Tamandua tetradactyla: one gene and its partners. The protein of the gene in region 1 interacts with the protein of each later gene in a pairwise test. Links are inferred from orthologs where the notes say so. Each region holds a gene or a part of one and is shown in the gene's direction. Other genes may lie near its edges. The genes, in order: CIB3, MEOX2, KLF17 and SERTAD1.

Evidence for each region.
Region 2: the proteins of CIB3 (region 1) and MEOX2 interact in binary tests that used the Homo sapiens proteins (3 or more experiments, as listed by UniProt). The two-hybrid records come from large-scale screens. The link is inferred for Tamandua tetradactyla from reciprocal best matches to the Homo sapiens genes CIB3 and MEOX2.
Region 3: the proteins of CIB3 (region 1) and KLF17 interact in binary tests that used the Homo sapiens proteins (3 or more experiments, as listed by UniProt). The two-hybrid records come from large-scale screens. The link is inferred for Tamandua tetradactyla from reciprocal best matches to the Homo sapiens genes CIB3 and KLF17.
Region 4: the proteins of CIB3 (region 1) and SERTAD1 interact in binary tests that used the Homo sapiens proteins (3 or more experiments, as listed by UniProt). The two-hybrid records come from large-scale screens. The link is inferred for Tamandua tetradactyla from reciprocal best matches to the Homo sapiens genes CIB3 and SERTAD1.

Annotation. Positions count from the first base shown.
Region 1 is NC_135337.1:94,809,400-94,816,631, reverse strand, and holds the start of CIB3 (calcium and integrin-binding family member 3), read left to right. Parts: upstream 1-4,210; 5' UTR 4,211-4,624; coding exon 4,625-4,702; intron 4,703-5,635; coding exon 5,636-5,670; intron 5,671-5,858; exon of another isoform or gene 5,859-5,872; coding exon of another isoform or gene 5,873-5,904; intron 5,905-7,232. UniProt on the Homo sapiens protein: Acts a an auxiliary subunit of the sensory mechanoelectrical transduction (MET) channel in hair cells. Plays a role in regulating hair cell MET channel localization and function.
Region 2 is NC_135327.1:108,683,758-108,690,973, forward strand, and holds the start of MEOX2 (homeobox protein MOX-2), read left to right. Parts: upstream 1-4,194; 5' UTR 4,195-4,529; coding exon 4,530-5,043; intron 5,044-7,216. UniProt on the Homo sapiens protein: Mesodermal transcription factor that plays a key role in somitogenesis and somitogenesis and limb muscle differentiation. Required during limb development for normal appendicular muscle formation and for the normal regulation of myogenic genes.
Region 3 is NC_135328.1:179,820,183-179,827,090, reverse strand, and holds the start of KLF17 (Krueppel-like factor 17), read left to right. Parts: upstream 1-3,889; 5' UTR 3,890-3,963; coding exon 3,964-4,050; intron 4,051-6,908. UniProt on the Homo sapiens protein: Transcription repressor that binds to the promoter of target genes and prevents their expression. Acts as a negative regulator of epithelial-mesenchymal transition and metastasis in breast cancer.
Region 4 is NC_135342.1:23,657,778-23,665,615, forward strand, and holds the start of SERTAD1 (SERTA domain-containing protein 1), read left to right. Parts: upstream 1-4,823; 5' UTR 4,824-4,989; intron 4,990-6,594; 5' UTR 6,595-6,597; coding exon 6,598-7,305; 3' UTR 7,306-7,838. UniProt on the Homo sapiens protein: Acts at E2F-responsive promoters as coregulator to integrate signals provided by PHD- and/or bromodomain-containing transcription factors. Stimulates E2F1/TFDP1 transcriptional activity.

The DNA of each region.
Region 1 (7,232 bases):
TCTCTCAGCCATTGACACTGTCTCCTTTCACTCTTCCCCCTTTTGGTCGAGAAGATTTTCTCAATCCCTTGATGCTGGGTCTCAGCTCATTCTAGGGTTTCTGTCCCACGTTGCCAGGAAGGTCCACACCCCTGGAGTCATGTCCCACGAAGACAGGGGAGGGTGGTGAGATTGCTTGTTGTGTTGGCTGGAGAGAGAGACCACATCTGAGCAACAAAAGAGGTTCTCTTGGGGGTGACTCTTATGCCTGAATTTTAAGTAGACTTGACCTAACCTTTGTGGGGTTAAGTTTCATGTGAATAAACCCCAAGACTGGGGGCTCAGCCTATAGCTTTGGTTGTCCACACTGCTTGTGAGAATATCAAGAATTCAACTTGGGGGAAATTGAATTTCTCCCCGGAGAACCCATTGCTTTTGATTGGTATTTATTAACAGTTTGTATTAGTGGACATTTATTATAGTTTGTATTTATTAACAGTTTGTATTAGTGTAACAAATTCCACTTTGTTACAATTGATGAAAGAATATTATTAATATTGTACTATTTGCTACAGCCCATAGTTTACATTAAGGTTCACTGTTTATGTTGTAGAGTACTATGTTGTTTCTTAACATTTTTTTAATTCTAGTAAAATATATACAACCTAAACTTTCTCCTTTTAACCATGTTCATGTACGCCTACACTTTGATGGTGTTGATTATGTTCACATGTTGTGTTATCATCACCACCATCCATTACTAAAACTTTTTCCTCTCCCCGAACAGAAATTCTGTACCAGTTAAGCATCCCCCACTCCCACCCAGCCCTGGTTAAAAACCAGGAAAAATCTTTCATAATCCCTGATAAATACATGTTCACGGCCACATGTAAGAAAACCAAACAGTACAGAAAGGGTCAAAAGGAAGAAAAGAAAAGGGAAAACCTACTTTCTGCTCCTCACAAAATGGTGAATGATTTCACAATCATTCTTTTCAACACAAAAGTGTATATACACCGTTATTTATCTGTGTGATGCCCTTTTTATCTCTGCCCTCATCTTTTCACACAACAAAATGTCTTGTAGCTCAATGCAAAGCGGGAGATGCGCGTCAGCTTCACCTCCTTCCGAGGTGCGTTTGTCCTCCAGCTGAGCGAACCCCACCCCAAATGAAGGCCATTTCACACCCACAAATCTTGTCCAACTTTCGCGAGTGGGCTGACTCTGTGGCATTGCTAGGTGCAGGATATATACGTTTGTGCATTTTGATTTGGAGCTGTTGCCCCAAATGTGCCAGAGACAGTTTTGTGTGCATCTTTTGTGGGGGTCAGGAGGCTTAAGGAGGAGGAGCAGGCATCCCCAGATGTAGGGAATCAGAACAGAGACAGCACAGTAGCTGCTGTCCCCAGTCCTACCGGCAGGAGACAGCAAGCGATCAGCCAGCCCTCATAGGCATACCCTCCGGCATTCGAGCTGGCCGAGGAATCCCTCGAGAAGAAAGAATGGGCTTCCTGGTATCAGGAGATGGCAGCTGCAGTACTTTCATTTTAAAAGAGAGGCGACCTTACCTGTGACAGCTTACTGAGAGTGTTGTCCACGGACCAGAATCAACTAGTTCCGAGAGAGACAGGACGGACTCAGCTGGGGAAAACTCTCCCCCAGCACCCAGCAGCCCGGCTCCAGGGATTAGGCCTGAGAGTGGAGAGACATCTCTTGCACTTCTGATGCTGTGTGTCCTGGAGGAAGTTGCTTGACCTCTCTGAGTTTCCCTTTCTTCTTCTATAAAATGGGGATGATTATAACAGCAACAACAACAAACACAACGGCTAAATATTTGTATGGATGATCTCATCTATTCTCATGGCCACCCTATTCTGACTGTATAGATGGGGAAACCGAGGCATAGAGAGCTACAATAAAACTGTAGCTTCTGACACTTAGCCAGCAGAGGTTTAAAACCCGGACAGGCCACCCTGCGGACCAGTCTTGAAAAAGTACAATGCAGTGCAGATGCAGAATAACATTTCAATGAAATCTGACTGCTAGCAGCACACGTGGGAGGGGTTCCCACATCCCACGTCCCTGCCCTGCCGAGCTCGGCCGAGGCCATGTGGGAGGAAGTGCCCCATCTGACTTCCAGGCAGAAGCTTAAAGAGGCAACCGAGGGAGGCCAGGTCTCCTGTCCTTGTGCCACCATGACGAGCAGTATTTCTGATAGAGCTGCCGGGATCCCTGAGTGAAGGAGAGCTGGAATAGAGCCCTTAGCTGGCCTGGAATGGATACACAGATCGTCCTCAATGACTGGCTCTTACCATATCACACAGCCTTCACTGTCACACTGCTTTCACACAACACGAGGTCATTTGCTGTCAGATGCGCCACTGTTAATTCATTATCACCGCACCCTCCCCTTAAGGAAAAGTTATCATTTCATTTAATTCCAAAAAAGAAGTTGAATGCTCATGAATAAGGTTGAGTTTTGGAGGGCCATAAACCGTTGAAATATCTAAGACATTTTAATTGCCTGAGAACCAGCCCCAGGGCCTTTGCATCTGCTGTTCCCTCTGCCAGAAACTCCCTCCCCTGTGCTTTATTCCTTGAGGTTGCTACTAAAATGTCACCCCAACGAACCTACCTTCTGTGCCTTTAATGGGTTTCGAGAAAGCAACTTAGTGCATGAAACTTATAGAGTCTTACTTTGAGCCCCAGGTATTCTTAAGAGACAACAGGAGTGATGTTGGTTGGGGTTTAGCAAACCATGGCAATCAGCGCTATCTAACTGAAACCACGTAACAGCAGCCTCCAGAGCAGCCTGTTGACTCTATTTGAGCCCTCTTGGCCACTGATGCCTTGTTTGATTACACTTCTTTTCCCTTTTTTGTCAGGAAGGCACTGTTGATCCCATGGTGTCAGGGCCAGACTCATTCCCAGAGTCATGCCTTATGTTGTCAGGAGACTTTCACCTCTGGATGTCATGTCCCACGTAGGGGGAAGGGCAATGATTTTCCTGGCAGAACTGGGCTTAGAGAGAGAGGCCACATCTGAGCAACAAAGAGGCTTCCTTCCTGGAAGCAACTCTTAGGCCTCATTGTAGGTAGTCCTACCTTCTCCAGTACGGAAATGACTCTCCTAAGGGCAAGCCCCCAAATCCAGGGCTTGGTCTATATTCTCAGGAGCCCCCGATGGTTGAGAAGGTACTGGGGTTTCCCAGATGAGAGAATGTAATAGCAGAACTTCATTCCTTTTTATGGCTGAATAATACCCCATTATATAGATGGATCACATTTTGTTTCTCTGTCCAACAATTGGTGAACATTTGAGTTGTTTCCACTTTTTAGCTATTATAAAAGTGCTTCTGTGGAATTCACGTCCAGGTTTTTGTGCGGACACATGTTTTTGTTTTTCTTGGGTAGTTATTTAGGAGTGGAATTGCTGGGTCATATGGTAACTAGGGGTTTAACCCATTGAGGAACTGCCAGACTGTTTTTCAAAGCAGCTGCCCTATTTGCAACCCCACCAGCAATGTATGAGGTTTGCGATTTCTCCACATCCTCACCAACACTTGTATTATCTGTCTTTTTAGTTTTAGCCATTCCAGTGGGTGTGAAGCAGTTGCTCATTGTAGTTTTGATTTTCAATTCCCTAATAATTAATTATGTTGAGCATCTTTCCGTGGGCTTATCGGCCATTTATATATCTTTAGAAAAAAATCCAATCCTTCATCAATTTTTTTTACATTTCATCTTCTTTATCAGAGAAATTCTGGATTTATGGAATAATCATGCATAAAATACAAGACTCCCATATGTCACTTCACCACCATCACCTTGCATCGGTGTAGAACTTTTGTTACAAATGACGACAGCGCATTTTTATGGTTGCACTGTTATTTAAAGTCCATGGTTTAACTTAGGGTTCTCTGTGCAGTGCAGGTTTTTTTTTTAGTTTTTGTTCTATCAGTACACATGCAATCTCACATTTCCCCTTTAGATCACATTCAGGTGTATACTTCAGTAATGTTAATTGCACTCACACTGTCGTATTACCATCACCACTACCAATTAACAGACACTTCCAACATTCCAATTAAGAATCAGGTACATTTTAAGCCTCAACAGCCCCTTCCTTCACCCTATCTGGTCCTCTGGTAACCTATGTCCTTGCCCCATTTGTCACTGTATTTGTCTTTTTATTGTCGCACTGTAAGAGTTCTTTATGTATTCTGGATACTAGCCCTTTATCAGGCTCATCCTTTGCAAATATCTTCTCCTGTGCTGAGGCACTTGGTAGGGGCACATCTAAATCTGTAAGAAACTTCCAATTCGCCTCGCAGGGGGCCTGAGCCCTTTGGCATTCCCACCAGCAGTGGACAAGAGCTCCACTGGCTGCTCATCGTCGCCAGCACTCGCTTTTGCCCCCACCCCTTTTTTTCATTCCAAGGGGGTCTTTTAAAACCTGATTGGAGCCACATTAGAGATGACGTCACACGCTTGGGTAGACGATGGTTGATGAGGAAGAACCGCAGAGGTCCAGGCCAAGGACATGAGGGCTGGGGGAAAGACCCAAGAGCAGTTTGGGGAGCAGGAAAAGACTGAGGAGATGAGGGGCACAGAAAGCCGACAAGGTTCGAGAAACTTCTGAGGACATGACAGCCAGGCCGAGGACATTAGACCTGCCTCCTGCCCCAGATACTCTGCCCAAGAGGATTCCAGATATTCATAAGGTAGGTAGCTGCTACATTGCATCTATCCTTTAAGAATGCACCTGCGCATTTGTCCATTAAAGGCTCTGACAAGTCCTGCTGCAAAGATCTCTGACGTTATTAAACTCACTGTTTTTCTAATTTAGACCTTGGATTACTTTTCTCAAGTTAGAACAGAACACTTATAATAATTTAAAAATAAATGACCAATGCACACCACAGGGACCTTTCCTGGCTTGTGTCCCCCAATGCTTAGAACTGGCTCACAGGCAATGGGCAATGAATACTTTTTGTGGCTGCGTTAATGATCTCATTATCCTCAATACGGCCCTATGAGGTAGACACTAGTATAATTTCCATCTTCCGAATGGGACTCAGAGAGGTTAGGCAACTTGCCCAAAGCTACACAGCTAAGGATGCAGAGCGCTGGAATTCGAATCAGGCTGTGGCTGCAGCGTCACCGGCCACCCTGCCTGAAAGCGCCCCCTGCCCAGGTGCCCCGGTGGCCATGGAGGCGGTCTCCCCATCCAAGGCTGCTCCCTGGGCCCCACCCCCCCTCGCCCGGTGGCCGTGGGCTCCGTCACGCTGTCGCCAGGGAGCTGGGCTGTAACTTGAGTCTCGCCCAGGCTGGGGGTGACAGGTTGGGTGGGCAGGTGACAGCCAGGTCACAGACATTTGCTCACACCCTCGTGAGCCACAGCCTTGCAGCCCGGTGGTCCCCAGGGCTCATTCCCGGGTCTCGGCATGGGCAACAAGCAAACCGTCTTCACCCACGAGCAGCTCGAGGCGTACCAGGTAGGGGCGACAGGCCCGCCGGGTGGCCGGGCCTGAGAGGCGGTGACAGCCTCCCTCCAGCATGGGTGTCCAGTCCGTGATGGGGGGTGTGGGCGGCGGGGGGTCGGGAGGAAGGAACCAGGAGCAGAACTGGGTCCCAGCCCCCAAATCTCTCCGCAGGACTGCACGTTCTTCACGCGGAAGGAGATCATGCGGTCAGTCCCGGGAGGCAGGGAGGGGAGGCCTGGGGACCACTTACTGTTCATTGTTGGGGAAGACCCGCTGAATGCACCCCAAGGCTCAGCTGCCAACGGGGGGTTTGGGTCGCAGCCCTGGGCAGTGGGTGGTGGCAGCTGCGGGGAGGCTGGGAAGTTGCATCTTGTCCCCTTGTCACGGCTTCCAGGCGGACGAGCGTGGATGTCTCCCAGGGCAGAGGGGAGCCACAGCGGGTGTGTGAGCACTGGGGAGAGGGATGGTTGGGGTTGGGGAGCTAGAATGACCTCCCTGAGGCTGGTGTGCAAAGGCTGGGGGTGCGGGGTGGGGGTGCTGAGGCTGGAGGCTGGGGGCTCAGGTGGGACCGCCCAGAGCTGGTCTTGGTGGTGGCGTTGGCACCAAGGCGAGGGGTTCAGGGAGGTGGCCATTGTCCAGATGTCCTGACCCATGAACTTGGAGCTGTGAAACCCAAGCTTGGCAGGGCTTTGTCTGCAGAGTGATTGGCGCCAAGGTCCCAGTTGTGTGGGCATGGGGCATCCATTATTGATGGGTGCACCATCCGCCAGCCAGCCCCATTGTCTGGGCAGGACACAGCTTGCAGGTCTCTTCCAGGTCGCCCTGGCCATCGTGATCAGATTACCAGTGGGGAAACTGAGGTTCAGACAGGGTCAAGCTGACCACAGGCCTCAGGGCATTTGGCCAGAGCCCCAAGGACATTTCATCTGCCCAAGCTCCTTGCTTTTCAAACAGATTTGAAAAGGCTCAGAGGGGGAGAGGGACCTGCTCCAGGCCACATAGAAACCCCAGCTCAAGTTGTCTCCTGAGGGGACCCTGGCAGGGGCTTGGGTGTTTGAGACTGAAATTCTGAGCTGCCATATAATCCAAGGGCTCCTGCACCCCTCAGGGACAATTCCTAGCATCCTGGGAACCCCCAGACTTATCAAGGGTGGTCTCTAACAAGGCTGTCTCTCAGCATTCCCCAGGGACAGTATGTCGTCACCAGGTGAGGGCATCATAGTGGAGAGCTAGCCTCGCAGTCTAGGCAGCAAGTGTGTCATTCAGTGCTTTGCAAAATGCCTTCATTTGCCCCCTTGGGAAGACCTGAATATTAGCTTTTTTACTGTGCTCTGCTCCATTACAAGAACTTTGCCTCCTGTTATGGAAGGAGGGAAGGAAGGTGGGAGGCTGGGGGCTCTTTAGAGGCAGAGTCTTGCAGACATTGTGTTGATATCCAGAGATTCACAGATTGGCTTGGATTCTCTGAATGTTTGGTATGAAATGATCTAACCCTAAGCTCCCTTCCTTCTGGTACCTCCCTCTGCTTGGTAAGCTCCTATGCATGCTTCAAAGCCCAGCACATGCCCCCTCCTCCAGGAGGCCCTGCCTCCTCCCTGGTTTGCTACTCCCAGCCCTCTTTCCTCTATTCCTGGGGTTCTCTCTCCACCTTGGCCCTGACCCAGGGGAGTGGAGGTGTTTGTGCCTGGCTCTGTCTGATTCAGGGATGTACCCAAGGCTCCCAGCTCTTAGGGACCAGCACCTCTCCGCATAGAGTAAATACTTTTGA
Region 2 (7,216 bases), on another chromosome or scaffold:
AACTATATATCCTAATCTGTATTGAAAGCTGGTTTTCTGAAGTATTTTTAAAGCAGTTCTAATTTTTATAGGTTGTCTTTTGTCACTTGACTTTTAGACAAAAGAGTTATATTTAATACTTACTACACTATCATTTATTACAAGATACTTGATACATGAATTGAGGAAAGTCACCAATTTTGAAAGAATTTTAAATCTAAATGTAGGAAGAGATAGAAACTAAAAAGACAAAGTAAACTGGATATTATCTTATACCATTCAAAAATGTTTAAATATTCACTTCTTGTATATGCAGAAATGTAAGAAATTTTATTGCGAAAGTGCCAATTAGTGTTATGCAAAAAATAATCGCTAATGTAAAGTTGATGAATAAAAGTATATTAAATCACAAAACAACATGCATAAGCAAAATTGTTCTGTTAAATTTTATAATGCATAACTCCCAGAGAAAGGCAATTCCTTATTTTGAAAAATAGAGTGTATCATAAAACACATAAATTGCCACTGGATGTTTGACGTATTTGTCAAATATAAGGCATTTTCAAAATGCCTTACTTCAAAAGGACCAACTAAAGGCCATAAATGTTATTTCTTGGGAAGGTATAGCAGAAATAGTATTCTTATCTTCAATAACACTTTCAGAGACCAATTCCAGTTTCAGTTTAATGAGCTACACTTAAATTCATATTTCATCACTATATGTTACAAAAGCAAACATTTACCTATCAGGTAAAATGCAAAGTATAGTTTTATAATGCCTGTTGCTGGAGATCATTTTTACTTTAAATATTTTAATTCTCATTATACCTCAAGTTGCAAACAAATAAAAGAATTACAACTCTTACGGGAGTCACCATGAATATAAAATAAACTGTAACTTAAATTTTTCAGGTTGCTTGATATGCATTCTAATCCCTTAAAATAAAATAGTCCTAATTTTAAAATATTTCTGCCTTCACTATTTAGTATCATTTCATTTAAGCAGGGGGCATAATAGATATACACACATCAACTATGAAGTACCTGTTTAAAATCATTTTGATTATGCTTCCTACAAGAGCTGAGCAGCTTATGTTTTCCGTACACACATTTTCTTTACAACAGGCTAACATATTAAAATCTTGCATGAAATTTTAATATTTTTTGTTTTACTTTTTTCAGGAATGTTTGAATATATGGTAAATATAGGATAAATTCTTTCCCATATATAGTTTTAAATGAATGTTGCAGAAATCTTATAATAATTTTTACCATTTTGATCATATTAGCCATTAGAGGTAAAAAGGCATCTTTCAACAGTGGGTTTTTTTTTTTTTAGGTATGGAGGGGCCCTTTAACAGCCATATAGGAAATGCTAGGAACATTTTTCCTGTCATTATTATAAATATCTTAGAATTCTCTATAGCCTAGAAAGTAAAAATCATTAATCTTGTTCCCACTAATCTATGAAATGAGGATTAAAAAAAACTTTATGTAATAACATATATTTAGAAATTCAGAGAAAAGTCATATAATTTTTAAATGCATCAATACTTTGTAATTAGTATTTTAGTCCTTTTTATAACTCATACTTACTTTTCAAATAGAATTTTTCTTATGTATTTCATTGGAAATCTGAACTTTGTAATTTTTATTGACATTGAATGCTTTATGTCTTCAATAAAAAGACATTCCTTATGAGCATTGTTTTAGTTGTGTGTCTTTAAAAAAGACTCCTTGTCTTTCAAACATTTTTCCTCTCCAGACTCCTGACTGCACAGTTCCAGAGACTGAGACAGAGTGTAGAGATGTTTCTGGACATGTTGTTAACATCTGACACTTTGAATGAGAAAAAAGCCAGCACAATCACCAACAGGTTCAAGGAGACATGACAACTCCTGGAGGTGAAAAGTCTGTGTGGTTGCTAGTTGCTAGTCACCTGCAACACACTGGTTAAATTCAATTTCATTCATTTCTCAGTTGCTCGGCTCCTTCTAAACCACGGTAATGTAAACCAAAAGGATCATTATTGATGATATTATTGGTGTTGTTGATCAAGTTTTTCTTTAATCAGTCTTTTCTGACATTTTTCACAATGCTTTTAATAGACAGCACTATATTTTATAAATTTCTCTTTCGTTAAAGTCTTTAATGCTTTCACCCAGAACCCACAGAAAAGCTACTGGAGTTGGGAAGTTTTAGTGTTGCTCTTTGTACTTCAACTTTTAATATCAGAGCACACATTGAAACAATAAACACAATAAAAACTCAAAAAATATTCCGTCGTTATTGGAAGAATATACCCCCTCTTTTTACTATGAAAGAGCCAAGGACATAGGGAGTGGCAGAAGAAATAGTCTTAAGACCTGAGCCCCGGCCGCCGTCTTCCGCGTGCTTAAAACCTTTAGAAACGTGCGACCTGAAGAACATCCCCGGTCCAAGCCTAAAACAATGTTAGATTCTCGAAATATCGGTCAGGGAAGTCTTACCGTCAAACGCTTGCAGCAGGTCCAGCTCAGAAGGAGACTGAAAAGCTGAGCAGCTGGTGAACAAAAGTTTTCGCTTTTTTTTTTTTTAAACCAAGTCTGCAAAACTAATTTCCCTCAAAATAGGGCTCAATTTCCGTTAAAGAAAGCAGCGCTTACAAATCTCAGGATTCCTGATCACCCCCACCCCACACCCCTAAGCAATGGAAAATAATTCGATCTTTCACGTGGATGTTAAAGTTTATTGCGACGCCTCTATACTGTAGTAGGACTTAAAAGGAAAAAGGAGTCAGGCTGAAGCTGGAAGGACTGCAAAAGGGAAAAGGTTCTGCCTTGGGGACACCGCTAAAGGTTAATCAATACTTTTTCATAACTCAAACCAGATGGCTGGAGCAGTTTGCTGTCCCCATTAATTTCATTAACAGCTTCAAAGTTCTGGTCACCGCCCTCTGGACACCTGAGACAATGAAAATAACCCGGCGCCTTTGCTAGTGGCTCGCTCGAGGCCGCGGGCGAGATATGTGACCGCAGATGCTATCCTGATGCTACAAGTGTCAGGGGACCCGCACTTCAGGCAGCTCAAGACGCGCCGCTCGCTTGTCTTGTGCAAGACTCGGCCCCAGCACACCGGGTCGTCCCCTATGTAAGTGGCAGTATTAGAGGCAACACTTGGCCCTCTTTGGAAGGAAAATCGAGTCCAGCCCTCGCTCGCCGGTACTCACTGGTGGCAAGTTTTCTGGCATGCAAAATTATAACCAGTAAAACCTGATGCTCTTAAGTTTAGGGAAGGGGAAGTGGGGTTTTGGAACGCAATATTTCTCGATAAATGGATCCATAATGGGGGGGGGAGGGTAGGGAGGGGTGCGAGCAGCTGATTTATTTTGAGAGGATGAGAAGGTGGGTTGCAAGAGGGGAATTGGGCGGCTCAGGCTCCCGAGGGCAAAGGCTGGAAATGTGCACATAATCAAAACGTCTCAAGTGGCCGAGACGTGAGCGCTTCGGAATAATCCCGACCCGGGAAAAGTTTTTGGTGGACAAGTGGTTTAGGGAATTGAGCGGGTCCAGGACAGGGTGGAGGTGGGCGTTTGCGAGGAGCGGGGAGAAGGGAGGCCCCACCCGGCCTCGCAGGTGAGGAGGTCAGGACCTGTGTGTCTGCAATGTCTCGGGCCCACGCTTTCCTCCACCTTCCCCAGGCCTTCTCCTGCAGGCACCGAAGACAGCCTTTCGCGGCCGGGCGCACCTCTGCAACCTCGGCCCCGGCGTCGGAGCCCGTCGCCACCCAGCCGGCGGGACCAGATGCGATGGGGAGGGCGCGGTTGCGTCCGGGGCGCAGGGCACGAGAAATTTTGCAAACTCAAGTTTCAGAGTACGAGCCCAACTAGCGCTCACCTTTTCCCTCAACCCTATCGGCCTTTCCGTGTTCCTCAAAGGCTGGGCGCCCCACCCCCCTCCCCAGCTTTTCCTGCAGGTGACAGTTCCTACGTGACACTGAAAGAGAACTGGGCGAGTGGGGCACTGGGTGCTGGCCTGGAGCTGGCTGGCGTCACGCGCCTTTGCCGCCGGGAGCTTAGCGCAGAGCAGCCGAGCGTCGGGGCTGCGGCGGGGCGGCGGGTCTGAGCGCGCGGCGGGGGCCCAGCCCCGGGAGGAAGTGAGCTCCGAGCGCGCCGCGCTGACTGAGCGAGCGGTTTGGAGGGAGTTTGCTTGTGGTCAGCGCCGGGCTCCTGAGCCAGCCCCCAGCTCACATTACACTCTATTTATAACCTCCCAGAGCCGCTTCCCCCTGAAAGCGGTTCTCTGGGACCACCTTCTTTTGGCTGAACCTCTCCTCCTCTAGACCTCTGAGTGGTTCGAAGGGAAGCGCCCCCAGGTCCAAGCGTGTAAGCGTAGAGAAGGCTGGCCGCTAGGGCTCGGCGCCGGGGTTATCCACGCTCTGCAGAAGCGTGTGCTGCTATTGCTTTGGGAGGGGGGGAAAAAACCCCACTGTCTCCAGTGAAAACCGACAGAGGCTGGTGGAGTTCGGAACCTTCGCGAAGTCTTCCGCCTGGAAGCCGAGACGCGCATGCTATGGAACACCCGCTCTTCGGCTGCCTGCGCAGCCCTCACGCCGCGGCGCAAGGCTTGCACCCGTTCTCCCAGTCCTCACTCGCCCTTCATGGAAGATCTGACCACATGTCCTACCCCGAGCTCTCCACTTCTTCCTCCTCTTGCATAATCGCGGGATACCCCAACGAGGAGGGCATGTTCGCCAGCCAGCATCCCAGGGGCCACCACCACCACCATCACCACCACCACCACCACCACCAGCCTCAGCAGCACCAGGCTCTGCAGACCAGCTGGCACCTCCCGCAGATGTCCTCGCCCCCGAGCGCGGCTCGGCACAGCCTGTGCCTCCAGCCGGACTCCGGAGGCCCCCCGGAGCTGGGCAACAGCCCGCCAGTCCTGTGTTCCAATTCTCCCAGTTTGGGTTCCAACACCCCGACGGGTGCAACGTGCGCGCCGGGAGACTACGGCCGCCAGGCGCTGTCGCCTGCGGAGGCGGAGAAGAGAAGTGGCGGCAAGAGGAAGAGCGACAGCTCAGGTAAGCGCACCAGTTGTGAAGGGGGCGGGGAAACGCCACCAAAGATTTCTCTCAATTAAAGTGGAGCGGCCGAAAGATGCAACCTGTCTTTCCTTGGCGTCCCCGCCGCCGAATCCAGCCGGGCTGCTCTGGTTGTGTCAGCAGCAGGCGGGGAGGCAGGGGGCCAAAGGCACACGTTTCTCCCAGGACAGAACGTACGCAGACAGCCAGCTGCCCTGAGCTCTCTCAGGTTCCCAACTAGTTTACCAGAGGGTCGAGAAAAAAAGGACAAGTGTCTGTGTGAGAAATCGATTTGCGAACCGTGTCCTTCCTTCGGAGGGCTAGGGAAAGGGAGTGTCCCCGGGATGCAGCGTCTGCTGGAGACTGCGAGTGGGTGCCACCCTTTGACTTCTCCCTTGCAAGTTCCCCACTCAGAGTGGCTCGATTTTTCCCACCGTTAACTGGAGTTCCGAATTATTGCACAATATTTGGAACTTGCAATGGAACTTGGCAGAGCGCATGAGAAAAAAAAGTTCAAGGTTTTTTTTCCCCCTTAATTCTGATTTCAGAGTTCTTTAAATAGCACCCTATTCCAAATGGCAAAAATTTCCCCTTGCTTGGGAAGGAAAACAGTATAGGAATTAGAAGATTAAGGAATGTGCAGATATGTAAGTAAATAAATAGATGTTCAGACTCTGAAGGAAAGACAATAATAGTAGTTCATATTCATGTGGTGCGAATGTGAAGACGCGGAGTTTCGAAAGTGAAAAGAAATCCTCCCCAAATTGAGTGTTATCCAGGGCAGGCACTGGAGGCGAACAGCAGCTCGGTAGTGCTGGCTCCCTGCGGGCCCAGGGCTCCTGTGCGCAGATGGGCGCAGAAGGCGCTTTTCTGCGCGCGGGTGTTGAATAGCCACGCAAAGGAGCCTTCCTGAACTCGGATGCTGGAAGGTACAACTGCCAAGTTCATTGTAGCAATCCAGAAAAACGCCAAGTTCTCCTAAAAGCTCTTACCAATCTGTATCCTTCTGAAATCGAGTTTACAATAAAGGAGGTTCTAAGTTGTATTTCTGCAGCTGCCATGCAACTTGAGTTCCATCTTTTCCGAAGCTGTCATTTGTTTAATATAATACTTGCATATTTTTCTCCCTTTGTGGGATCGGTTTAATAGTCTTAGAAGGTAATCACAGCTAATGGTTTGAAGTGTTGCAAAATTTTAATTGGTTATAAAACTGTAGGTGCGACCCCCACACCCATGCCAATGAGTGAGCCCCGTACTTCACACTCTGCAGCGATGGGGTCGATTGTTCTGCTTTAGTATGGGATGTGTTCTTGGGTCATAATCTCAAAATCTGGCTTTTACTTTCCAAGGTCAGGGGTGAACTTTTAATGTTCCTTCACGATTTAGCTTATATCTAAGAAAGTTACTGGTAGTGTCACTCATTTTAGTGGATTTCTTAACCTTAAGTGAAACTCTATTAAGACAGTGAGTTAAAAGCCTAATACGTAACAAGGTTTCCATCATCATCAGAGGGAATAAAAAAGGCCACTTTTCATTATCGTTTTCATTACTTCCCCCCAAAATAAGAATATGAATAAAAGTAGAAAAGGCCATCCAAAACATTCAAAAATCGGTTGTGGTGATGAATGCATAGCTATATGATGAGACTATGAACCAGTGATTTTACACTTGGGATGATTATAAGGTATGTGAATAAATTGCACTAAAAGGCCACTTTTAGTATGTAGGGACCATTTCATAGATGGACCATTTGGTATCAGTGTAACTTTGGGAAGCTAATCCCAGTTCAGATTGATCAGAATACTTTGCAATTACTAGGAGCTTTTACTGTTCATTTTACTTCCTGCTGTGAGAAACCTGTATCATAGATTGTTCTTTATGCATGCTGTATTAACCTAAGATTTTTAGGTCAAGCTGAGTTTTCCTACAGACACATGTTATTTTGGTTGAGGTAATTAGAGAAAATGGGATCTAAAAAATGGTTCCATTAAATTATTTAACTGACAACTTTCTTAAGAAAATTAGATAATTCATCATTGTATTCCCTTTTGGCAAGAGATAACCACATAGCGAAGTAAAACCTAGTCTTATGTGCTGAAGCTGATACCTAAAAAACTGGAGAAACAAGTTTGTATAACTTACATAAAGTATTGATAAACTATAGCTTGAATGG
Region 3 (6,908 bases), on another chromosome or scaffold:
GTGTCTTCAAAATCTGTTTTTCCCTTTTCTAACCTCATCTCCACCTTGGTCCACCATCCATCTTCACTACTGTCTTATTCAGTTTTCTCCAGCATTTCCTAAACCTGCCCAGTGCATTCCTGCAGTCCATTCTCAAAGTCAACCTGTTCGAAAATGATTTCATCAGCTGTAAACATGCCCTGAATCTGCTCCTCTTCTGATATTCTCTATCTCACAGAGCAGTACCAACAACCTCCCAGGAACTTAAGTTAAACATCTGGGAGTTTTCCTTGACCTCTTCTCTCCCATCACATTAATCCAGTGCAACACCAAATTCTGTCTATTCTTTTGCCTTAGAGTCACTCACATTTGTCAACTGCATTCACATTACTTGTTCATCTTATGTTTACTCAATGACTGTACCAGAACCTGTCGTGGGTTCTAGGGAATCAAAGATCAAACAGTGTTTCTCAAACTACCTGTGCTGAAGGATTTTTTTTTGTTCTTTTTTCCTTCCAAACCGTTATGGACCAAGTCTTTTGCAAAATAAAATAAAAATAAATTACTAGAAAAATAAAATGAAAAGGACATAGAGAATATAAGCTCCATTTTTTTCATTATTAGATTCAATAAACATAAAGTTACTATAAAATTGTTATAAAAGTTTCTACATGCTTCTCTCAATTTTGTATTTATCTTATCACAGACTGTTAAAGTTTCTAGACTGGCATCATCCATGGACCACACTTGAGTAGCACTGAAAAGAGAAAGGCCAAACATATGGGGGTGTGTGTGGAGGGGCTTAGAGTGAGAGAGGGAAGGCAGAAAAGGAAGACTGTTAAGCAAATAAATAATGACCACATCATCAGCCACAACACAATTAGTTGATATTCAGAGATGTGGAAGTATGAAGGAGGTACTTTGCCCAGCCTGGGTATTAGGGAAGGCTTCTAATAGAAAGTGATTCTGGAACTTAAATCTAGAAGGCAGGTAGGAGTTAGTCATATTGGGGAAACAAAATGTGGATTTGGAAGGATGCTCCAGGCAGAGAAGCAAGTTCTGGAGACACTAAACATATGGTTTGGGGGATTATGTTTCATAGGATTTGATGGGCTGTTTTTCTCTGAGCCTCAGCATCGGTTCCCACATGTATAAAATAGATGCTTGCTATTCTACCTGCTGTGATAAAGCAAGTGTCCTTGCTCTCAGCAAAGATTCACCTGTCCATTTCCTGGGTCTAACCCCCTCTTAACGTACCAAGGACTTTGCTCCTACAATGAAGCCTTATTTATGTGTTACAATCAGATTCTCTGAACTGAGACTCAGAATCAAGGGATTGAGAAAAACCCTAGAATGAGTTGAGACTCAGCATCAAGGGATTGAGAAAACCTTCTCGACAAAAAGGGGGAAGATTGAAATGAGACAAAGTGTCAATGGCTGAGAGATTCCAATCAGAGTCCAGAGGTTATCCTGGAGGTTATTCTTATGCATTAAGTAGATATCACCTTGTTATTCAAGATGTAATGGAGAGGCTGGAGGGAAATGCCTGAAAGTGTAGAGCTGTGTTCCAATTTCTTGACGATGATTGAATAATGATATAGCTTTCACAATGTGACCGTGTGATTGTGAAAACCTTGTGTCTGATGCTCCTTTTATCTACCTTGTCAACAGATGAGTAGAACATATGGAATAAAAATAAATAATGGGGGAACAAATGTTAAAATAAAATTAACTTGAAATGCTAGTGATCAATGAAAGGGAGGGGTAAGGGGTATGGTATGTATAAATTTTTTTTTCTGTTTTTGTTTTATTTCTTTTTCTGAATAGATGCAAATGTTCCAAGAAATGATCATGATGACAAATATGCAACTATGTGATGATATTGTGAATTACTGATTATATATGTAGAACAGAATGATCAAAATAGGAATGTTTGAGTTTGTTATGTGTTTTTGGTATTTAAAAAAATAAAATAAAAAATTAAAAAAATTAAAGAAATATCAATTAAAAAATGATTCTCCCTTATTGGAAGATACCTCTCAATTTATACCATGCCTTCCCTTCCAAATGCCACCTCATTTCTCTTTTCTCATTCATAGCAAAACTTCTTTGAAAGAGTTGTCTACCATGTTTCAACATCTCTACCTCATCATCTACTGTTCACTTCTCAACCCCCACCATCACTTCTATCCTCACCATCACTGTTTCTGTCAAGATCACTAATGACTGCCACCTTGCCAAATCCAACACTTATCTCAGCAATATTCGATGCAATTGAACAGTCTCTTCATTAAATACTTGTTTGCTCTTGGCTTTTCTTGAAATAGAGTCTCCTTGTTTACCCTTACCTCTTTGTTTATTCCTACTTGGTCTCTTCAGATGACCTCGCCCTTCTGTTAGGCCTTAAGGGCAGAGAGCCTGAGGTTCTGTTCTCAATTCTTCCTCTAATTATCTCCCTACTTGATATTATCCACTCCAAAGGCCTTATAACAACTATTTCTAAGCTGATAACACCTACATTTACAGCTCTGACCTCTTCCTGAGCAGTTTCAATAGAAAACTCAAAATCAACATGTCTAAAAGGAAATTCTTGTCCCACTGCCTCCAAATCTGCTCCTCTTCCTATCTTTCTATGTCACCAAATGGTATCCAATTGCCCAAATCAATAATCCAGGAGTCATCTTTGATTCTTCTTTTCCTCCCTGCCCTTTTCTGATACATTAACAAGTCCTGCTCTTTTTAATTCCAAACTATTCTCTATTCACTACTTTTACTTACCACCAAAACACTGACATCTGTTTCTTGGAGTACTCCTTTAGCTTTCTAACTGGTGTCCCTGCTTTCATCTCCCCATCTTAATTATAAGCCTCAAAAGAGTCAAAGGATTACTTTAAAAACCTAAATCAGATCATGTCAATTTCCTGCTGAAAATCCTTTAGTAGTTTTGCATCACACAGAATAAAATTCAAACTACTTTCCATGGTCTCCAAGGCCCTACACTCTTCTGTTTCTCCCTATCTGTCTGTCCCTATTTTATAACACACTTTCTCTTGCTCCCATCTCTGTTGTCACATGGCTTTCCTATTTTCCAAAATGTCAAGCTCTTTCTTGCCTCAGAGTTCTGCGATCTTCCCTTTTGGCATTTAGTTCTCAGTCACATTTTATTTCTTTTTTTTTTTTTTCTGTTGCTCAACACCATCTGAAATTATTTGAATTATTGACTTTATTATTCATTTCTTGTCTGCCCCTTTAGGATGGAAATTTCCTTGAGAGCAAGGACTTGTTCAGTCTTGTTTGTCATTGTATCTCTAGTTCTTAAAAACGGTATCTGGTCCATAGCAGGAATAAAGGCATTCCACTCTTTATCTGTGGAATAAAAAAATTATGCCCTGGTCTTCAGGTTGGACAGGCATAGGACAGATAGAGGTGTCCCGGCCGCACTAGAAAAGACCTGCATCTTCTGGAACGTAGGCCAAGAGTCCTGGTCTGGTGGAAGTGGAGATGGGAGGTCTCCGGTCTCCAGGGGCCCCACGTCTGACCCTGAGACCCTCTCCAGCCTTCTTCCCTCATTCCCCTACTTGGAACTCATGGAGACCTGACCAGAATCTGAAACCTCGGGATCCCAGGTCCCCACTTGGGCAAGTAGAGATGCTCATATTGACGCTCATATTGACGGATGGATGGGGTAACGAGGGCAGGGCAGGCATAAAGACTTTAAGAAGTGGTAACTCTGAGGTAACCTGTCGGTGACCCTACCTATTTTCTGGTAGGCTGGAGCAGGAAAGGTGGGATGGGCTGCTATTGGGTGTGACGGGTGGCGGGGGAGGGGCGCGTGGATCCTTGACTCCGCCCCCTGGAACTACGGGAACTAAACGCTGAGCGCAAGGATTGTGGCGTGGTAGTGCCTGGAGACCTGAGTTGCGTTGCTAAGGCGGTGGTCCCCAGCTCTGGTCTGAAGTGGGTCTGGACCAGCGTACGGTCCCGATGTGTAGCCGATCCGAGGCTGAGATGGAGCAAGAGGCCGTAGAGCTGAGCCAGTGGCAGGAGGTGGCCCAGTGCCAGCCCGTGGTGGTGAGTCGGGGCTTCAGCTCCAGGCCAGGGTGGGACACGGAGCCAGGAGAGAGAATCAGAAATCTAGGGGATTAGAAACTCAAGGGAGGGGGTTAGGAAGGCAGGAATGGCAGATCGGGTATATAAATAACATGTCATTTATTTAATTACTTAATATTTGCTGAGTATTAGTCTGTGCTGGGTGCTGCGGGTCAAAGTTTCCAGGAAACGTGAGAGGCAGGACAGGAAATTGAAGACAGCTGGAAGTGGGTAGGGAGAAAAATATAATTAAACATCTATTGAAAGCCTACTAAGTGCCAGGCCTTTACCAGGCACTGGGACTACAGTAGTGAATTTATTGTAAGACAAGATATTATATCATTTTATAATAAATACTTAACTCAATGGTTGGAAATGCACAAACTACTATGAAGGGGAAGTACAATGTCCATGGGGAAAATAACAGAGATGTTTGATGCAATTGTGTGGGTTAGAGAAGGTATCTGACATTTGGTCTGAAATTGAAGAACTGGGCAGGTGATGGTTTCCAGGCCATGAGACCAGAAATTCTTGGAGGAATTGAAAGATAAGACTGAGACCAAGGCTGAGATAATATTGGTAGAGTGATCCAAGGGGAAGGGAGGCAGGGGCCTCAGATGCCACTGAGGTCAAGGACCCGCAGTGCTTAATTTGGTTGTTATTCCAAGAGTAGTAGGAAATCACTGATGAGTTTAAGTATGAGCAGTCACAATTAGATTTGCATTTATTAAAGAGTACCCTGGGGGTAAGGGCAGGATGCAAGGTAATAGTTAGAAAGCTATTGTGAAAATCCAGGTCAAAATTAAAATGGTGGTCTAACTGGGGAGGTGAGAGTGGAGGTAGAGAAAACTGAATCGAGTCTAGAGATGTTTGGGAACTAGTCTCCCACAAGAATTAGTCATTAATTGAATCCAGGTGATGACGTAGGCAGCCAAGATAACTGACCAGGTTTCTGGCTTGTACCGTTGGGTGAAAATGGTGGTGTAGCTCCTGAAAGAGCAAAGGATAAAAAGGAAAAAAGTTAATGTTTATTTGTGTGTGAATTAAAGATGATCATGAGTTTCAGACAAAGACCATTTAAAATGCTTGTTGGATATCTAAATGGACCTGAGTGGGAGAGGTCTGGACTGAAGTTGTAGATTTAGGAATAACTGGAATATAAACAGAAATGGATTTATTGGTATGGAAAAGACTGGCCAGAGAGAGAGGAGTAAGAGAAACCTCCAAAGGAGACTAAAAAGGAAGAGGTCAGATAGGAAGGAGACAAGGATAGTATGTCAAATGTAGTGTTGGCAAAATCAAGGGAAATACACATTTCAGGAAGAGTGTGACCAACAGTCTTAGAAGCTCCTGAGAGGTCAAGCCTGAATGTATCCCTTTGATTTAGTGACATCGAGGTCATTAGTGGCCTTGATGTTTTATGAACGTTGATTCTATGGAGATTTGGGGGGTGGAGAAACAATGCAGGAACAATGAGGTGAGGTAGTGGTAAAAGTGCTGTGTTCAGACAACTCTCAGGAGTTTACCTGTGAAGGATGGGGTAAAAAAATAAAGGCCACTGGTGAGAGGTAAGGAAGAGGCTGAGCACCCAAAATACTCCCATCCGGTAGGCATTCATCTGATTCCTGTTCTATGCCTGACCTAATGTTAGTTGCTGAGACTATAGTGATGAATACCATAGGGTCTCTCCAACCTTTTTTGGGGTTAAAAAAGAAAGAGAACATTTTCTTACACTGTCAAAATGACATTATCAAACCTATCAAAATTAACTATAGTTTTTTAAATCATCTTATTTAATGAATAGTCCTTATTCAAATTTCCCTAGTAGTCCTAAAATTTCCTTACAGCCACTATGCCAAAATCAGGATCTAATCCAAGATGAGGCGTTGGATTTGGTTCTTACATCTCTGGATCTTTTTTAAATGAGAATAGATTTTTTTCATGACTCTGACTTTGCATTTTTCATGACCCTGAACTTGTAGAATGTTTCTCTTTTGGATTTGTCATATGGTATCAGTTATCTTGATCTTTTAATCCCATTTCACTTCTAAATAGGAATTTGGCCTAAAAGTTTAGCTGGATTTAAGATTTTTTTTTCTTTAAGAAAGGCATGGCAGGCTTCATTTCACATTACATATGGACGCACATCTGGCTTCTCACATTTGGTGAAACTAGGTTTGGCTTTTGGAAAAGAACTGGACTTCTGTCACTTTAGGCTCATGGATTTTTATAGATCAACATTTTTGATGCTCAAATTCTCACAAATTTGGTCAGTGAGAACTCTTTCAAGCCAGCTCCTGTATCCTTTTGACACAACCTAATCATCTTTGAAAGTGTCCTTATTTTCTGGTATGACAAGATATACTGAGCTTATTTATCCCAATCTTGTCTCAGAGTCAGGAAATTCTCCAAGGATCGTTGTTCCTTTTAGTGAGAGATGAAGTTAGAGAACAAAATCTGGACACTCGGGATTCCATTGGAATGATAATTGCTTCTATTGGCTATTTCGATTGACATAGCTAGAAAATATGTATTTTTTCTTAAATTAGGAATTTATATAGGATATTTCCAATTTAAATTTAGCAGGTTTTACTTCTGTGATTTTTCTGATGTATGCTGAAAATCTTGATTTTTCACACCATCGAGACTTATTTTTAAACTATTTTATCGTGAAAAATAACACTCAGGAAAGTGAATATAAATGTACAATTTTATGAATTATTATAAAGTAAAAACCTGTGAAACTACTGCTCAGTCCAAGAAATAGAAGTGTCAGCACCTCTAAGCTCCTTTCAGTGTTCCTCTATATGCTTCCTCCCCTACTAAGATAACCCCTGTCC
Region 4 (7,838 bases), on another chromosome or scaffold:
AGACTGAAACAGGCTCAAGAAGTAAAATACACAGTTGGTCCAAAGGTGATAAATGCTGTGGAGAAAAATAAAGGAGGAAAGTGATGGGGGTGATGGGGCATTGCTATTTAGAAGGGATGGCCAGAGAAGAACTCACTGATGAAGTGACATTTGAGTAAAGACCTGAAGGAGGTGAGGAGTGAGCTGTGTGGATCTCTGCAGGAGTAATGAAGCAGGCAAGGAAACAGCCAGTGCAAAGGCCCTGTGGTCAGAGTGAGTGGAAAGTGTGAGGGCCAGTGAGGAGGCTGGAATAGTACAAGCAAGGGGGAAGGGCCCCAGGAAGTGAGATGAGAGAGGTGGAGATGGGGGAAGTGGAGGGGTGAGGGGGGATGGCGATGGGCAAATCCCATCCGGCCTTGTAGGAGGATTTTAGCTTTACCATGAGTGATAGAAGCCATGGGAAGGTGTTAGGCAGAGGAAGGACTTGACCTGATTCACCCTTTAATAGACTGTTTTGGGCTGTCTTAAGGATAATGAAAGGGAATCACGTTAGTCTGTTAGAGTCACACTGAGGCCAGTAAGAGTAGCGCCCCCACTTTCCAGATAAATAAACCGAGGTTCAGAGAGGTCAAGCTCCCTCCCTAATATCGCACCCGTTTAAGCAGTGGCGCGGGAAGTGGAAAGGCTAGCCCTGCAGAGAGAACCTGCTCCCTGAGGGCAGAGTCCATGTCTCCCAACCTGTCCTCGCCAGCCGCCCGGCAGTGGGGGATGGGCCCGCGCTCGTCTGGGGGCGTGGCCAAGGGCCTGGCCCCTCCCACCTGCCCACCCTTCCGCCGTGGGCCGGCTGGCCGGATACCCGCGGGGCAGCCGCGGCCGGGAACCCCCGCCTGGCGCCTCCTCGCACTCCGGAGGCCGGGCGGGTCGGCCGGTTGGGGGCGGGGCGCCTCCACCCACTTTTTTACCTCCCCCCCCCACCCCCACCCCCACCAGCTGGCAGAAGCTCCTCTTGGGCCTGCCAGGCCTGAAGGCTTCGTTTCAGGTTTCGTTTCCCAAGGCCCGGCCGCTCCTCCTCCCTTCCCCCAGTCCTGTGAATTTCTGGCTCCTTCTTCAACTCTCTGGTCGCCGCTTCAATGTCACCTCCTCAGGGAGGCCCTTCCGGACCGCACTGGCTACAGAGTCTCTCCTTAGGCCTCCCTATTATCCCATTCCATTTTATTTTCTTCAAGTCACTGAACAGAAGAGGAACATAGCCTCCCGATTTATTCAATCTCCCAGGGTCTTCTCATTCCCACTCAAAATAAAAATCAAAGGATCTTCAAGTGGCGGAAAAGCCCGGGTGATTTCTCTGACTCCCTCCCCTGCAACTTACAGCCCAACTACAAAAGCCTTCTGCCGGGCAGAGGCTCTATACACTCCCACCTCAGGCCCTTTGCACCTGTTCCTCCCCCTGCCGGGAACACTCTTCCCCTAGAGCTTTGCTGCCCCTCTCATTCTCCTTCATCCGGTTTCTGCTCAAAGGTCACCTCTTCAGAGACCCTCCTGCGGCCACCATATCTAAAACTGCACACCCTGTCATTCCTCTTCTCCCACTTGGCTTTATTATTTTTCTTTGCACCATCACCTTCTAAGGCACTATACACTTTCTTTTTTAAGTTTATTGCCCATCTCCTTTCACTAGGGGTTTTTATCTATAATTTCACTGTCATACCTGCAGTGCCTAGAACTGTGTCTGGCACAGAGTAGGTGCTCAGTACATGAATATTTGTGAATAAATGAATGTACTTTTTTCATATTGATTTTCTCTTGCTACCTTTGCCCATGCATGAGAGGAGACAATGTGTGATATACGCCCATGGTCTACAACAGAACCCATGACTACTAGGTGTTCAACAAAGGCTGGTGAATCAAATAACTCCTATGAGTCCTTCTTCCATGTATGACCTAGAGCTAGCCATTTTCAGACTCCGAGTCTCATTTTCTTCAGGTCATAAAAATGCATTGTGGGGGTAAATTATGTGAATTTGCCTAGTAGGGGCCTGGTTTAAATTAGTATGTTATACTCTTTTTTAATATGAAAAATTTCAAGCACATAGGAAAGGAAAGATGAAAAAAAAAGTATACTGAACACCTCACTACCCTCCCACCTATATTTAATAATTGCTAACATTTAGCTCAATTTGCTTTCTACACACACATACACACACACTTTTGGCTGAACCATTGGAGAGTAAACTGCAGATGTCTTGCCTTCTACCCACAGCTCAACAGGCTTATTCTTAAGAGAAAGGACATTCATCTACAAATCATAACACTATTTCTTACCTAAGAAAATTAACAGAATACTATTATATCACCTCTAACAGTCAGTCCAAATTCAAATTCCTCCAGTTTCCCCAAGAATATCTTTAGTAACTGTGTTTTTAAATTCCAAATCAGGAGGATCCAATTCATATACAGATTTGATGGTAATAAAGAAATTACATAGTGCCATTTATTCTGGAAGATTTCCACCCCATTCCTTTCTCGTGTTTTCTTGACATTGAGTTTTGTGCTGATCAGCCCAGATGTACTGTAGAATGTCCCCCATTTTGGATTTGTCTCTGTTCATATTTAATTTTTCCTATAAGGTGGAAGTAGTGTCTAGAGGTTTCATGCAATGTGATTTATGCAAATAACAGTGAGACATGGGGGATGGTGTGTACCTTCTAGTGCATCCTATCAGCTGGCTCCCTGTGTTGGTGTGTACCGCTATTGGGGATCCAAAATTTCATCACTTGGTTAAGGTGGGGAGCACCAGAGCTCCCCATCATAAAAGGACATTTTCCCCTTTGCAGTTAGCAAATTACCTGTAAAGTGATGTTTTCGAGCCCATCAAGATTCTGTTCCCTTGTGTAGTGCTCCAGTACATCTCAGAGTAATTTGGACAGAGACTAGAAAGTATTTGCAAGGTCCCCTTGGGGGACTGGGAGAAAGGAGAAAATATTAAACTTCCCCATCTGGAGAATACCTGATATTCTTGCAAGAAGTGGGGACAGCCAAGTCAGGCTGAGCCCTCTATCTTGGGGCTCACCCCTATGAAAGTTATTCCTGCACAGGAGAAGCTAAACCTACTTATAATTGTGCCTGAGAGTCACCCATCTTTTATTGCTCAGATATGGCCTCTCTCTCTAAGTCAACTCAGCAGGTGAACTCACTGCCCTCCCTGCTACGTGGGACTCAACTCCTGGGGTGTGTAAATCTCCCTGACAACATGGGGCAGGACTCCCTGGAATGAGCAGGGACCCCGTATCATGGGATTGAGAATGCCTTCTTGACCAAAAAGGGGAAGAAAGAAATGAGACAAAATAATTTTCAGTGGCTGAGAGATTTCAAACAGTGTCAAGAGGTTATCCTGGAGGTTGTTCTTACGCATTATATAGATATTCCTTTTTAGTTTATGATGTATTGGAGTGGCTGGAGGGAAGTACCTGAAACTGTTAAACTGTATTCCAGTAGACTTGATTCTTGAAGACAACTGTGTAACTGTATATCTTTTACAATGTGACCTTGTGATTGTGAAAACTTTGTGTCTGATGCTCCCTTTATCCAGGATATGGACAAATGAATAAAAAAATAAGGACTAAAAATAAACAAATAATAGGGGGAGATAAGGGGCAAAAAAAAAAAGAGGGTAGATTGCAATATTAGTAGTCAATGAGAGGAAGGGGTAAGTGGTATAGGATGTATGAGTATTTTCTTTTTTTAATTTCTTTTTCTGGAATGATGCAAATGTTCTAAAAATGATCAGGTAACGAATGCACAACTATGTGATGAGATCGTGGGCCATTGACTGCATACTTTGGACGGACTGTATTTGCATGCAGTATCTCAATAAAAAAATTTTTTAAAAAGATCCCTACCAATTTTTCATCCAAAGGTTTCAGCACCCATTCATAATCCCTGCCTGAATTAACTACCAAAGTCAGCAACATTTTTGAGTGCTTTCTTTGGTCAGGAGTTTTATTGATAGGAACTAACATATTCCTTCCCAAAGTTTCAGAAATATTAGCAAGTGAGCTACCTGAAGAAGGTAAGTCCCACTGTTAGTTTATGGGACAAGAATTTAACTCCTGCCTACCTGTAGCCAATCCCCGTGTGTCCCCTAAAGAAAGGACACGTTGCTGTCTGCATTGAACATTTTACACAAATTATTTTATTTAATCCTCAAAACAATCCTCTGAGCCAGATGCTCTTATTTTTCCTCATTTTAAAGATGAAACTGAGACCCCAAGAGATGAAAACATTTGCTTAAGGTCACACAGTTACTTGGGGATTCGATCCCAGGTGCGACTCCAGTGGCATTCCTCTTTCCCTTTCTAACCACAATCGAGTCCAATTGTTCACCGTTTGCCAAGCGGACAATACGATCTTATTTTAGTTTTCACAACCCTCCAGAGGTAGGCAAGACGAGCCCTATTTGACAGACTGCGTGTGGCTCAGACAGGTCAAGCATTTTTCCAGGGTCAGCCTGGAGTAAGTTTAGAATTTGAACCCACCCAACCTAGAGTACAGACTCCTGTTGGGACTTGATGGGCAAGAAGCTCAGTTGCTGGGTTCGGCAGGTGCATGGGTAGATGCAAGGTACCTGCACTGAGATGCAAGGTACCTGCACTGAGACGCTAGCTTTCCTCCGAGCTACTGTCCGGCGAGGTACAGAGCCAACTCTCCTTCCCTCGGGCAGAGGTAGGCATGCGCCTTGAAGCCACCCTCCCCTCCCTTCCAACCTGCCCCTACAGACTCCGCCTACCACCGTCCAGGACCAATCCGAGAGGTGGAGGGTGGGGCCTCCACGTGAGTGGGCGGGACCTAAGGGAAGTCGGGAGTCTGGAGTCGTGAGCCGAAGTCAGAGCTGCGTCTCGCGACCTAGGCGCTGGTTGCTGAAGACAAGCGAGCGAGCAATGCTGCCGCCGCCACTTCTTGATTGGCCGCGGGTGGCTCCCTCTTCCTTCTGATTGGCAGCTGGTGAACTGGGTATGTAAATGAAGGGAAGGGGCCTGGGGACCGAAGGGACACCGGTGGCGGGATCGCTTAGCCGGTTTGATCCTCGGGTCCGGCAGGTGCGCGCCTGAGCTGCCAGGGATCGAGACTCGCGGGGCCTTTACGTGCGGTCCGCCCGGCCGGGCCGGGTGAATCACGCCGCAGCCCGGGAGGGGGGCGGAGGCGCCGGCTCCCTGGCTCCGGCTACGTGACTCACCCGCCCCCGCCGCCGCCGCCGCGGCTTCAGGAGGAGCCGCCTCCACTGCCTTCCGGAAGCGAACGAGAGGCGGGGAGGGCAGAACAGCCCGCCGGGGATGCCGCACGACCCCGAGCGGCAGGGAGAAATGAAAGCCAGGAGGCGAGACAGTGTCAAGGGTCCCGGGGTCCGAGGAGCCGGAACCCCCAGGGGAAAGCCGGACTGGCTGCCGCCAGGGGGCGCTGGAGGGGCGGGGTCGGAGGTGGGGGCTACATTCCAGGGGTTCCGGACTCTGGGGTCTGCGGGAAAGGGGGAGAGGACCCAGTCTTGAGTAGGGTGGGGGACCCTTTTAAGGTCCTGCTGGGCAAGGGTCTGGGGGCTGGCCCCTGCCTGCTGGCCTGGGTCAAAAATGCAGGTTGGGCCAGGGTTCCAGAATTCCAAGGACCCCCCCCCCCACACACACACACACACAACTCGCGGAGGGTATGTGTGGGTCCTCAAACTTCTCTCAGTGACCCCCCGACCCGATCAGCGTTTCCTGTCAAATCCTGTCCACTCTGCCTCCCCAATACATCCTGAGTCGGCCAACTTCCTTTCATGCCCACTACCCCCTTGTATTCCAGGTTGGGTCTAGAGGTCAGGGGTCCCCACTCTCCTGGTCCTCCGCGCATGTCCACCGCACCGCTCCCTTCCCACCACACTCAGCAAAATCCTAACTCCTTACGGTGCTTTCTGCGACCCAGCCTCTGCCTAAGGCCCCCACCTCATTACTGCCATATCACTCTGTGGGTCAACCACACTGACCTTTTAGGGTACAAGGCTCATGCAGCATCGGGTCTTTCTTTGCCTTCCTTGTGGTTCCCTCTTCCCAGAATACTTTCCCCTGATCCTTCCCATGGCTGACCCCTTCTCCTGCTGGACTCCTCAGAGGAGCCTTCCCTGATTACTTAAACCCCGACCCTGAATCTCTTAGTGTCTTCCTAGCACTAAATAATTTTCCTGTATATTTGCTTATTAATTTATTGTCTGACACATAGTAGACACTCAATAAATACTAGATTGAACTATGTGAAACAGCACTTGTGTAGGTTAAAAAAAAGATTGAATATTGGCCATTTCACACAGTTGAATGAAGAAATTAGTAATAGTTATTACTAATAGTACTTTTCTATATAGCAGGCACTGTTGCTTTTTGGTATATTACCTCATTTAACCCTTAAAACAACTCTGATGAAGATACTATCATATCACCCCTACTTAAAGGTTTCCTAAGGAAACCTAGGCTCAGAGAGGTAAAGTGACTTGCCCAGAGTCACACAGATGGCAGTTGTCAGTGCCCAGCCGGGGGTTTATACTCTTGATGCTTGCTTCCTGTTACTGAACGACCCCCTCCCTCCCCACAGACAATGCTGAGCAAAGGCCTGAAGCGCAAGCGGGAGGAGGTGGAGAAGGAAGCCTTGGCAGTTGACACCTGGTGGCTGGATCCCGGCCACACAGCAGTGGCACAGGCACCCCCAGCTGTGGCCTCCAGCTCTCTGTTTGACCTCTCGGTGCTCAAACTCCACCACAGCCTACGGCAGAGTGAGCCGGACCTCCGGCACTTGGTGCTGGTGGTGAACACGCTGAGGCGCATCCAGGCGTCCATGGCACCTGCCGCTGCCCTGCCCCCTGTGCCCAGCCCGCCCGCAGCTGCTGGTGTGGCTGACAGCCTGCTGGCCAGCTCAGATGCCGCCTTCTCAGCCTCTATGTCCAGCCTGTTGGAAGACCTCAGCCACATTGAGGGCCTGAGCCAGGCACCCCAACCCCTGGTGGATGAGGGGCCACCAGGCCGCCCCAATGGGGGGGTCCCACCTGGCCTGGGTGCCTTGGACCTGCTGGGCCCAGCCACTGGCTGTTTGCTGGACGATGGGCTCGAGGGCCTCTTTGAGGACATCGACACCTCTATGTACGACAGTGAACTTTGGGCACCAGCCTCCGAGGTCCTGAAACCCGGCCCTGTGGATGGGCCGGACAAGGAGGAGGCTCCAGAGTTGGATGAGGCTGAGCTGGACTACCTCATGGACGTGCTGGTGGGCACACAGGCTCTGGAGCGGCCACCAGGACCGGGGCGCTGAGCCACCCCCCACTCAGGGTTGGGAATGATTCTCTGGTATAAAAAATTGAGCCCGGTGGCTGGACCGATTCTCCTTGCAAAGACTCGGCTGACTTTTCTGGTACAAAGAGAGAGCCATTGGCAAGTTTGGAAAGACAGAATCCAGCCGTGGGCAGGTTCACATCTGTCCTCTTCTCTTAGCGCTGGTGGAGGAGTCTGGGATTTGCCCCTCATGATGGAATGATGGGGCCTGGTGGCTGGAACTTCATTGGATCAGGCCCAGTGCTGGGCTGAATCCCTTGGGGTCAAAGCCCAGAATATTCCTTCCCTGATGTGAGAAGAGGCTTCAATCAGTTTTTTTTTTTTTTTTTTGACATTAAAACCAGTCATGGGAAATCTTATGTCTGTGTGTTTATTTCTCTAGGCTAATGTGAGGGTGAGATAAAAATGTCCAACATGCATTGAGTAAGTACTGTGTATCTGGCACAGTTCTGAGCATCTGCCATGTCTTAACTCATTTAATCCTCATAACAACCCCATAAGACAGATATTATT